Linked DNA regions of Oryzias latipes. The protein of the gene in region 1 binds, or shares a complex with, the protein of each later gene. Links are inferred from orthologs where the notes say so. Each region holds a gene or a part of one and is shown on either strand. Other genes may lie near its edges.

Region 1 (5,050 bases):
TAAAAAAAATGGGAGAAAATTACAAATAATTTAAAGATATATTGTAAAACATTTACCCATAAAAACTTCAGTTTTCAATAGGCATCATTTTACTTTCTTCTCCATTTTTTCCACAAAAAAATATGAGAAAAGCTTATATATTGAAACATTATGAGCATTTTTGGCATCATTTCATTTTTTATGTTATGTTTGTAGATATAATTTCCTAAATCTTTGTATAATTTAACAACTGAGATTACTTGTAATTCACTCAAAAAGATAGAACTAAGCTCCACTGACTGCTGGTAAAAATAAAAAAAACCTTGTTATTTTGTTTGTTTTCAGAAACACAGACAAACTGTAACTAAGATCTCCAAAGGGTAAAAATATATTCACACATGTTGAGTATATTTTATCTTCGGCAGAAATCATCACACCGTTGACTTCAGTCTCATCTGTTTGACAAGCCACCTCAGCAGCCTCTCTTTGTTGATCACTTACTTGAAAGAGGTTTCTGGAGTTGTGCTCATCTGTGTAGTCCTCTACTCCATTATATTCCATGTGATTTTCAGTTCTTTCCGGGGCTGACTGCGGCTCAAAGTGAATGGGAAAATCCTCGTTCTCTGTACATCGGTTTGTGTATTCATAATCCTCCGGTCCAAACTGATGTTCCTGAGTCCAGGTATGAGGCAGGGGCTGATTTTGACTGTGATGCCCATTAATATCAGCTACTCCATCTTTATAGGCATAATCACCATGCGAGCTTCCATCATAGTCATCCTCAAAGTTCTCCAAAAAGTAACAAAATGATAATTTCATCTTTTGTTTAATTGGTGAAAGCAAAAATCTATCAAGAGGGAAAAGTGAGGTCTTACCTGTGTGTGGGTGTGATCTGACCACTGCTGGTTCCACTGAGCCCGTGGGCTGAAAAACCAAACATGCATCAAACAACAGAGCAATTTACCTTTAATCGGTGGCACTAATGTGTCCACCGCATGCATTTACCTGTTGGCTGCGTTTTTATTGCTGTAGGTGGAGCACTCCAGCTCAGGGGAGGAGGAGTCCACGCTGTCCTCCAGCATGTCATCAGGCAGGTCTGTGAGCAGCTGGTGCAACTGCAGAGAAAACACAGCACAGATATGAGTCACTGAGGTTGCCAAGCAACAGAGTTATAAAGTAACACAGGTTGAAAAACTAAAGCACACGGAGGTAATCAATGACAGGCACAGAAGCTGCTTTTATATTTGCACAAGATCAATCACACTGAAGCAGCAGTTAAACTCATATTTTCATAAAAGCTCATTTGAAGTTACACTGTAACTACAGCAAAATAATAATATTTTGATTTATTTTGTATTTTTAAACATTTGAATTATGATTGTTTATACTTGATGAGCTAAGAAAGGGAGATACAAGCCTCAACCTCCACTAACAGCTTCTCAACAATGTGAAACCGTTACTGGTTAATCATTATTTGCAATAAAGTTCTGTATAAGACCAACTATTGAGAAGATTTTGTTTAAAATAGCTTCTCTCTGTGCTGGAAAAAAAGAGACGATTAAACAAGCAGTGTCTGCTGGACTTACTTCCCACAAGGATTGTTGAATGGTCCTCAAATCATCCACAGCTTCCACAATAGAAGGACCCATTTGTGCAATTATAAATTTAAAAAACTGACTACAGAGACAACTCTTCTTCTGCACGAGCTCTAACACAACCATCAGCAGTCTGAGTGTCTGGAGAGATGACCTTCTGCTGGAAATATTCAAAACCTGCCTGGCATGCCGTCAGCTCCCTGTGTTATTCCTCTGTTTTGCTCCAAAAAGAACTCCATTGTTCAGACCAAACATATAGCAAGGTTAACTGGAGCAGAAACATTCCGATTACTGGTGGTCAACATTTCCCACTTCACTGGCTTGCTTGAAATTGGGCTAAAATTTCAAAATAAACTTGCAGAGTCCTGCCAAATTCATTACAATTTTAGCTAAAGCATTTCTGCTTTGTTCCGTGTAGTGGGGTCAGGCATGAGAGGCCAAATAACTTAAATAGAGACAGCAGAGCTTGTTTAAGCTTATGACACACCTGAAAGGAGGTCCTCCCTGGAGCCAATAATAGCTCACAGTCATGGCTCAACAGATTGAGGCGTGAGAAATAAATGACAGTTTGAATATGATTTTAAAGATGCAGTCCGATGCTTTTGTTGATCTTATTTTCACCCACCCTTAATATCTAACAAATGAGGTTAGCTTTCATATTATCATTTTATATCACCTCTTGCTCCCTTGATTTTAAAGATGCAGTCCGATGCTTTTGTTGATCTAGTTTTCATCCACCCTTTACATCTCACAAATGAGGTTAGCTTTCACATTATTATGTCACCTCTTGCTCCCTTGCGTAGTCCTCTTGGTCATATTCTTCATCATCATGCTGAGTTTGGAGAGCAGCACTGTCAAAGTCTATGGACATGCTGCAAAACTTGCTGGTGGGCTGGGAAAAGAGAAGCAAAACAGGAATAAGGTGGCTATCCTGCCTTTCAAACACAGCAGTCTAGACTATGTTTTTCTTCAGTCACCAGCTGAGCTACGTGCTAGTGTCAAAGGTTAACTACTAGTATTGGTAAAAACAATGAGCGTCACCTCACACAGGTGAAGGTAGAAGCTAACCAATGTAACGTATTACCTGATTGAAGATAAAAAATGTATTTTGTCTAGCTGGACATCCTCCTATTTGAACGCGTTAAAACAAACGCTACCAACAAACAAGGCTATCTGAAGATGCGGCTCCAGTTAGCTAAAACTACGTGTGGCATTCTGTTTATCTAAGTACATGTTGAAACATAAATGGCTACACGAAATAATATTTAAAAAAATAGAAACGCGTCTAACGTAACGTTGCAAGCATTTAACAACACTGTAAAGTAAGAAATGTACGAAGCTAACCGTGGCTAAGTAGCACACAGATTAGCATCCTCTTTAAACGGACCCACGGTCTGTGGACTCGCCCAGTTTGAAAACTCCCGCGCATCAGCGGCGCCCAGCCATTGCAAAGTTTCACCGTACTGCAGAAAACCCACAACCTCTAACTTTCACTGTCTCGTGTTGCCGTTGGTCGCATAATTTTAATGTTACCCATTTTTGCCGTTTGAAATTTAGGTAGCAAAAAACAAAGCAGATACTTTGGTTCCTAAACCCGGAACAAAAAAAGAACAGTTGCCATAGTAACACAAACTAATTTTTTGGGAAGTGTAGTCCAGTCAATATTAAAAAAAAATGGTATTTTTAATGACTTATTTTATTTTTTTGTCTTTTTTAAGTCAAAAATATTTTCACTAAAGTTTTTTTTTCATTGACTATAACTATGTGTTTACCTTAAAAAAAATTGATATAAATACACTCCTCTGTGTACGGTGGCTCAGTTGGGACAAAAACACGTTAGCTCCGCCCCCGACTTCCGCGTTTAGCGTTGAATCCTGTTCCAGCATCAGTCTTTCCCGTGATAATCACGCTTTCCTGAGTAAGAGTTTTCGCTTTTAGCTGACTGGAGTTCAGCGGTTTCAGATCCAGGATTTTAGTCAGCTGACAGGACACAGGCTGCTCACCACTTCCCCAATTTAACGTCGTGGGACCACGTAAACACCCAGATTATTCCAAATCAGGTGAAAAATGGCCTCAAACCCACCCAAGATAAAGACATCGATTGCTACAAATCAAAGGTGAGATGACAAATGAGGACAGTTGAGGGAAAGAGGCAACCGTGTGGCTCTTATTTACTTGAATATAGTGTCATCTGCAGGTTGAAAAACCTGAAAAATGCATTTGAAGCCAAGTATGGAGAATCCCCACTATTCTACACGTGTGCACCTGGAAGAGTTAATCTAATAGGTAAACTAAATGCTCCATTTTTCTGTGTTATCATCATAACTAAATAAATTGATGTTTTTTTCATTAATACAAGTCATTTGATCTCACTGGGACACTTTTCTTTCTTTATTTTCTTGTAATACATTTACCAGGGGAACACATTGATTACTGCGGTTATTCTGTACTGCCGATGGCCATTGAGCAGAACATCCTTGCAGCTGTGTCTGTAAACAACTCTGGAATGATCCAACTGGCAAACATAAATCCTCAATATAAGTAAGAGACCAGATATCATTTTAATTCTTCCTAAATGGTTGATTGTTAGGATTTCTTGCATTACAAACGTGTTTTTGGTCATCTGCAGAGATTATAAAGTGTCATGCTCAGAGGACATCGCCATAAACAAAGACGACCCAAAGTGGTATTATTATTTTCTCTGTGGAGTTAAAGGTATCCAGGTATGATGTGTTTGTTATGTAATGTCTGAAATAATTGACCTGGAATGAAAATAAATATTTGTACAGTTTTTGTTGCTGTGAGTGTTTTTTTTCCTGCAGGAGAAGTTTGGGATCCCTCGTTTGGCTGGGATGTCCTGTGTGGTAGATGGATCTATTCCTCCCAGTTCCGGTCTATCGAGCTCAAGTGCTTTGGTTTGTTGTGCTGGTCTGTTAACTATGGAAGCCAATCAGAAATCCCTTTCCAAGGTAAAATCCTTACTAAGAGGATAAATACGAAGATACTTCGAAGCCCTCTGTTTATGTGCATTTATTCCTCCAGGTGGCTCTTGCTGAGATATGTGCCAAATGTGAGCGCTACATCGGTACAGAGGGGGGAGGCATGGACCAGTCCATTTCTTTTCTGGCAGAAAAAGGCACTGTGTGTACCTGTTTTCCATCAGTCTTTTTTCCTTAAAAGGTAACCCTTAAACAAAAGTGTGCATTAATTTTTGCATCTATTGTCAGGCAAAGCTGATAGAGTTTCACCCTCTGCGGGCCACTGATGTGAAGCTTCCAGAGGGAGCTGTATTTGTGATTTCCAACTGTTGCAAGGAGATGAACAAAGCCGCCTCCTCTCACTACAACATCCGTGTGGTGGAGTGCCGGATTGCCACAAAGGTGGAGTTTGAAGCTGCATGCTAAAGTTAATTTTTGGTCTTTTTTAAAATCTCCAGCTTCATTCGACTGGTTTTGAACCTGTGTTGTTTGTGTGGA
Region 2 (3,953 bases), on another chromosome or scaffold:
ACAAAATGATGACTACACCCTTACTTTGACGTGTTCTCCCTACCATGACAAAGGTGGAAAGATTTCATGTAATCCATGGACACCACTGAAGATCACAAATCATTCAAGAAAAAAGGTTCAGAGCACTCTCTAGTGGGTCTAGATGACCCAACTCCCAGGATAGCAAAAGGGTTAAAACTAATCTGGTCTGTTGATCTGCTAAGAGAGTTTCGGGATGCGCCTTCACTGTAGATCAGCAGGGTTTGCAGAGCTTGGTGTCGATGGATGCTGCGTGACCAAAGATTATCCATAAGTTGATTCTGCAGTACAGACATCTAGTCTGGTCAAAGAGAAATACACAAGAAATCCTTTTTTATTATAAAGATTTGGTTTTAAGTTTCTATGAGGCTTAAAAAGATGATTTTACTTGGATATGATAAGAACAAAATACTTAAATTCAACTTTTACTGAATTCAAATAAGAGTATGGTAAACATTGTTAAAATTAATTTCTGCAAAAAATAAGTCACATGATAAAATTAACATTTAACACTAATGTAGTCTGATTAATAAAACAATTTAAAAATAGTTTATAGTTATTATATAACAATTTTTTTACATTCTCAAAAGAGGGTAGGTACTTGTACACAGTTATATTTAGTATAAAAACTTATGAGAAGTAAATAAACAAAAAAAAGTATTTTTATTAACCATTTTGGGGTACTCTACAAACCCACAAAGTTACTACAGTTATTATATATTTTACAACCTGTAAGGAAGTTATAAAATATGTCCGTTAAACTAGCTAAAGCTATTGTGTAATTCTTGAGAACTTCATCTTGTAGAATTTTGTTTTATTTTTTGAGAGATTGAATACATACGGAGCCTGTTACCGCCCTAACCCCTAACTTTTAAAAAAAACTATACAGTGCAGCATTATATAATGCCTTGAATTTTAAAAGCTATTCAGACACCGTGCTATCCTAGGCACTTTAACATTGGGAGTTGGGTCATCTAGACCCACTAGACCAGTTCTTCTCAAATAGTGGGGCTAGGCGGCGCGAAGCGATGTCAGGGGGGGGCGCGCGGTGATGGTGGTTTATGCACAGGTAATACGGGCAATCGTCCGGTGCGCAAATTTAACATGGGGGCGGTGGTGACAGCGGCTCAGTGCTTGGAAAAATATCTGGTCCACTATTCGGTTCCTGTTGTCTGTTATATCACAGAGTTTGTAACAGCCTGAAACCTTTGAATTCCCGTCCCTGCAGCTGCTCCTATCTCGTGTCACACGGGGCTGCATGAGTGAGAACGAAAGGGGAGGGGTGGGGTGTGACTTTGTGATGATTATTTATAAGTCCACTGTCTTCTGAAGATAAACACAAAACATTTTAAAAACATTTAAATACATTTTTCTGCAAAAATTACAGACGCAATGCATTGTTGTCTATATTTCCCGATCTAATGAGCGTCGAGGCACACCGGTTTTTCGCAGAGACATCTGGGAAATTTCTGCGGGGCACTCAATTTGGGAATTGTAGGTTCAGACAGCACTTCAAAATGGTAAGATGCACTATATAACGGTTAGGGTGGGATTTCGGACATAGGCTCTGTCAAAAACCAGTGTGCTCACTACGTAAATCGGTACCATAGACCACAATGCATTGCGTCAAAGCAATTTTTACCCCAAATAAAGTATATTTTAAACAAACCATCAAAGTTTTTATCTTCAGAACACAGTGGATTCATAAATACGATGGAGTTTTCAGTTTACAAAAAAAAAAAATTAAAATTACGATTTTTAATTCGTAAATTTCAGAGAAAGAAAGTCATAACTGTTAAATTACGAGATTTTAAGACGTTATGAGATTTTATCTCGTTAATTTATGAGTTTTATCTCATAAATTCACAACTTAAAATCTCGTAAATTTTTGAGTTTTTTTCTCGTAAATCTACAAGAAAAAGTCATAGTAAAAAACAAGTAAAAACACATAAGTTTTCTGTTTATCGGAGCCTAGCTTGAAGACGAAATATGTGGAGACTTTTGTGAAGCTTTATTTCCAGATAAGTTTCAAAAACAAACAAATTTTGAGCCTTTTGACGACTTAAAATCACATTTTTGTTAGTGTAGCCAGCCTTCCAGGGTTCGGTGTCGGTAAAGCGGAGTTAACTAAGGAGCTCAGAGACTCGTTTGGGTGTAGAGGACCGCTACTTTATTTTCCTTTTCAATCACAAACCCAGAAGTCCATTTGTCACCTTACGTCATGAACCTGTCATGCGCAGAACACCAATGTTTAAACGAAATGTCCCGTTTCAACATAAAACAACAAAGATGAATGAAAATAGTCTGTTAAATTAGCATAAGCATGTTGAAAATGCCAAAAAAGTGCACACAGACCTCTAAACATCCTCCGTGTCTTCAATGCATTGTAATGAAATATACACAGACAGAAATGTGAAAGTATCTGCTGTAAATCCAAGAATGACTTATCAGATGAATTATTATTTCGTGGGAACATTTTTTTTTTTTACCCATGTCAGGTCACGGGCTCCGTACAGTACCTGTTGTGTCTCAGCCGGACTATAAGGACTCCATGCCTGGATCACTACTCCTCTCTGAGTCAGTCACGCGACACGTTACTTACTACGCGACAGGACATTCGCCGACGCGGCTGGAATGATCTACGGCTAAGACTCGTCCAAATTCACAGCCGTTAACATCCAGACAACCCGCGCGACGAATGACCCGGCCAACGTCGACCGTGAAGGCCGCGGCCACTGAAAGACGCAGCCCCCGAATTCGGACACACCCTCCATTTTCATCTCAATACAGATTATATTTACATATTTTGACTAAGTGTAAGCGTGGCTCGTTGGTCTAGGGGTATGATTCTCGCTTTGGGTGCGAGAGGTCCCGGGTTCAAATCCCGGACGAGCCCAAAGGTTTTTATTGTCCACTGCCCAAAGCTTTTTATTTTCCACTAAGAAAAACATTTTTATCCAAGTGGTTGGAGTGGATATTTTTTATTTTATTTATTTATTTATTTTTTTAACTTTTTACCATTTCTAAGTTAGTCATCTCCTTCGACCAGCCCTCCACCGGCCTAACAGCAAACACAGGAACAAAGACGGAGGCTTGGCTCAGCTTCCCCAGCTGTTGTTGGGCGAGTCCTGGGCGGTGACAGACGTCTCTGTTCCGCCCCCAGCCGCGGCGGACTCTCAACAGGCGGCAGACGCGACAGTTCATTTACAGTTCTTGACTGCAGGCAGACTGAGCCACTTGGAAAAACCTGATCTGAACGAGAACTAGAAGCATTTCACTCAAGTAAGTATAACATTTGATTTATTTGAACATGACTCCTCTTCTTCTGTCAGTGGTAAACTTCTTTTTATACTGTAACTTTTTACTATTAAAAGGACATGTTATTATCCAAGAAAATAATGAGTTTTCTTATCTTGATGTGAAATGGTTGCATTCACAAGAATTAAAATATCAAAAATTCCTCTAATTCATTTTTTCTCCTTAGAGTAGAAATAAATACAGCTGTCATTCCTGGGTAAAGTTTGACCAAAGGACAATCTTTTCATGTTTCTTCCCAGCCGGGCCCGTGGGACCGTCTGGGACCTTCTGCAGCTCCTCTGTGGCTCTCAGCAGGAACATCGCCGTCGTCCATCTGGACCATGGTTCTGTGTGAGGACAGCGACTGCACCGTCTGCTTCTTCCCTTACTCCCGCATGGACAGGATCCCCCGGGTGCTTCACTGCAGACATACCTTCTGTGAACTGTGTCTGGAGGCCATGCAGCAGGTCAGGAGCAGCTACCTGGCGCTGGCCTGCCCGCTGTGCCGCAGGGTCACCTGCATTGACCGAGGCCTCAGCCTGCAGGAAGCTCTGTGGGTGGACAGCAGGCAGTGGGAGCAGATCGCAGAGGCAGGAGAGGAGGACGACACACTCAAACTGGAAGGAGAGGAGCTGGAG

The links.
Region 2: the proteins of cep152 (region 1) and cep63 are in contact, whole or in part, in a crystal structure (PDB 6CSU), measured with the Homo sapiens proteins. The link is inferred for Oryzias latipes from reciprocal best matches to the Homo sapiens genes CEP152 and CEP63. Residues at the interface, in NP_001181927.1 of Homo sapiens: Gly1261, Ala1262, Glu1265, Leu1266, Gln1269, Tyr1270, Lys1272, Ala1273, Lys1276, Ile1277, Asp1280, Met1281, Tyr1284, Glu1287, Ser1288, Arg1291, Ala1292, Met1295, Ala1298, Arg1302; in NP_001340037.1 of Homo sapiens: Phe666, Glu669, Glu670, Arg673, Ile677, Arg680, Leu681, His684, Glu687, Leu688, Glu691, Ser692, Thr695, Phe699.

What each region holds. Positions count from the first base shown.
Region 1 is NC_019864.2:15,114,862-15,119,911, reverse strand, and holds the start of cep152 (centrosomal protein of 152 kDa), read right to left. Parts: upstream 3,183-5,050; 5' UTR 3,004-3,182; coding exon 2,962-3,003; exon of another isoform or gene 2,659-2,961; intron 2,467-2,658; coding exon 2,359-2,466; intron 1,957-2,358; exon of another isoform or gene 1,701-1,956; coding exon of another isoform or gene 1,566-1,700; intron 1,095-1,565; coding exon 985-1,094; intron 904-984; coding exon 855-903; intron 769-854; coding exon 481-768; intron 1-480. Other genes in the region: galk2 (N-acetylgalactosamine kinase), read left to right, coding at 3,642-3,691, 3,760-3,860, 3,992-4,115, 4,204-4,297, 4,397-4,543, 4,617-4,715, 4,802-4,954. UniProt on the Homo sapiens protein: Necessary for centrosome duplication; the function also seems to involve CEP63, CDK5RAP2 and WDR62 through a stepwise assembled complex at the centrosome that recruits CDK2 required for centriole duplication.
Region 2 is NC_019862.2:2,686,827-2,690,779, forward strand, and holds the start of cep63 (centrosomal protein of 63 kDa), read right to left. Parts: upstream 2,801-3,953; 5' UTR 2,538-2,800; intron 1-2,537. Other genes in the region: uncharacterized protein LOC111947333, read left to right, coding at 3,657-3,953. UniProt on the Homo sapiens protein: Required for normal spindle assembly.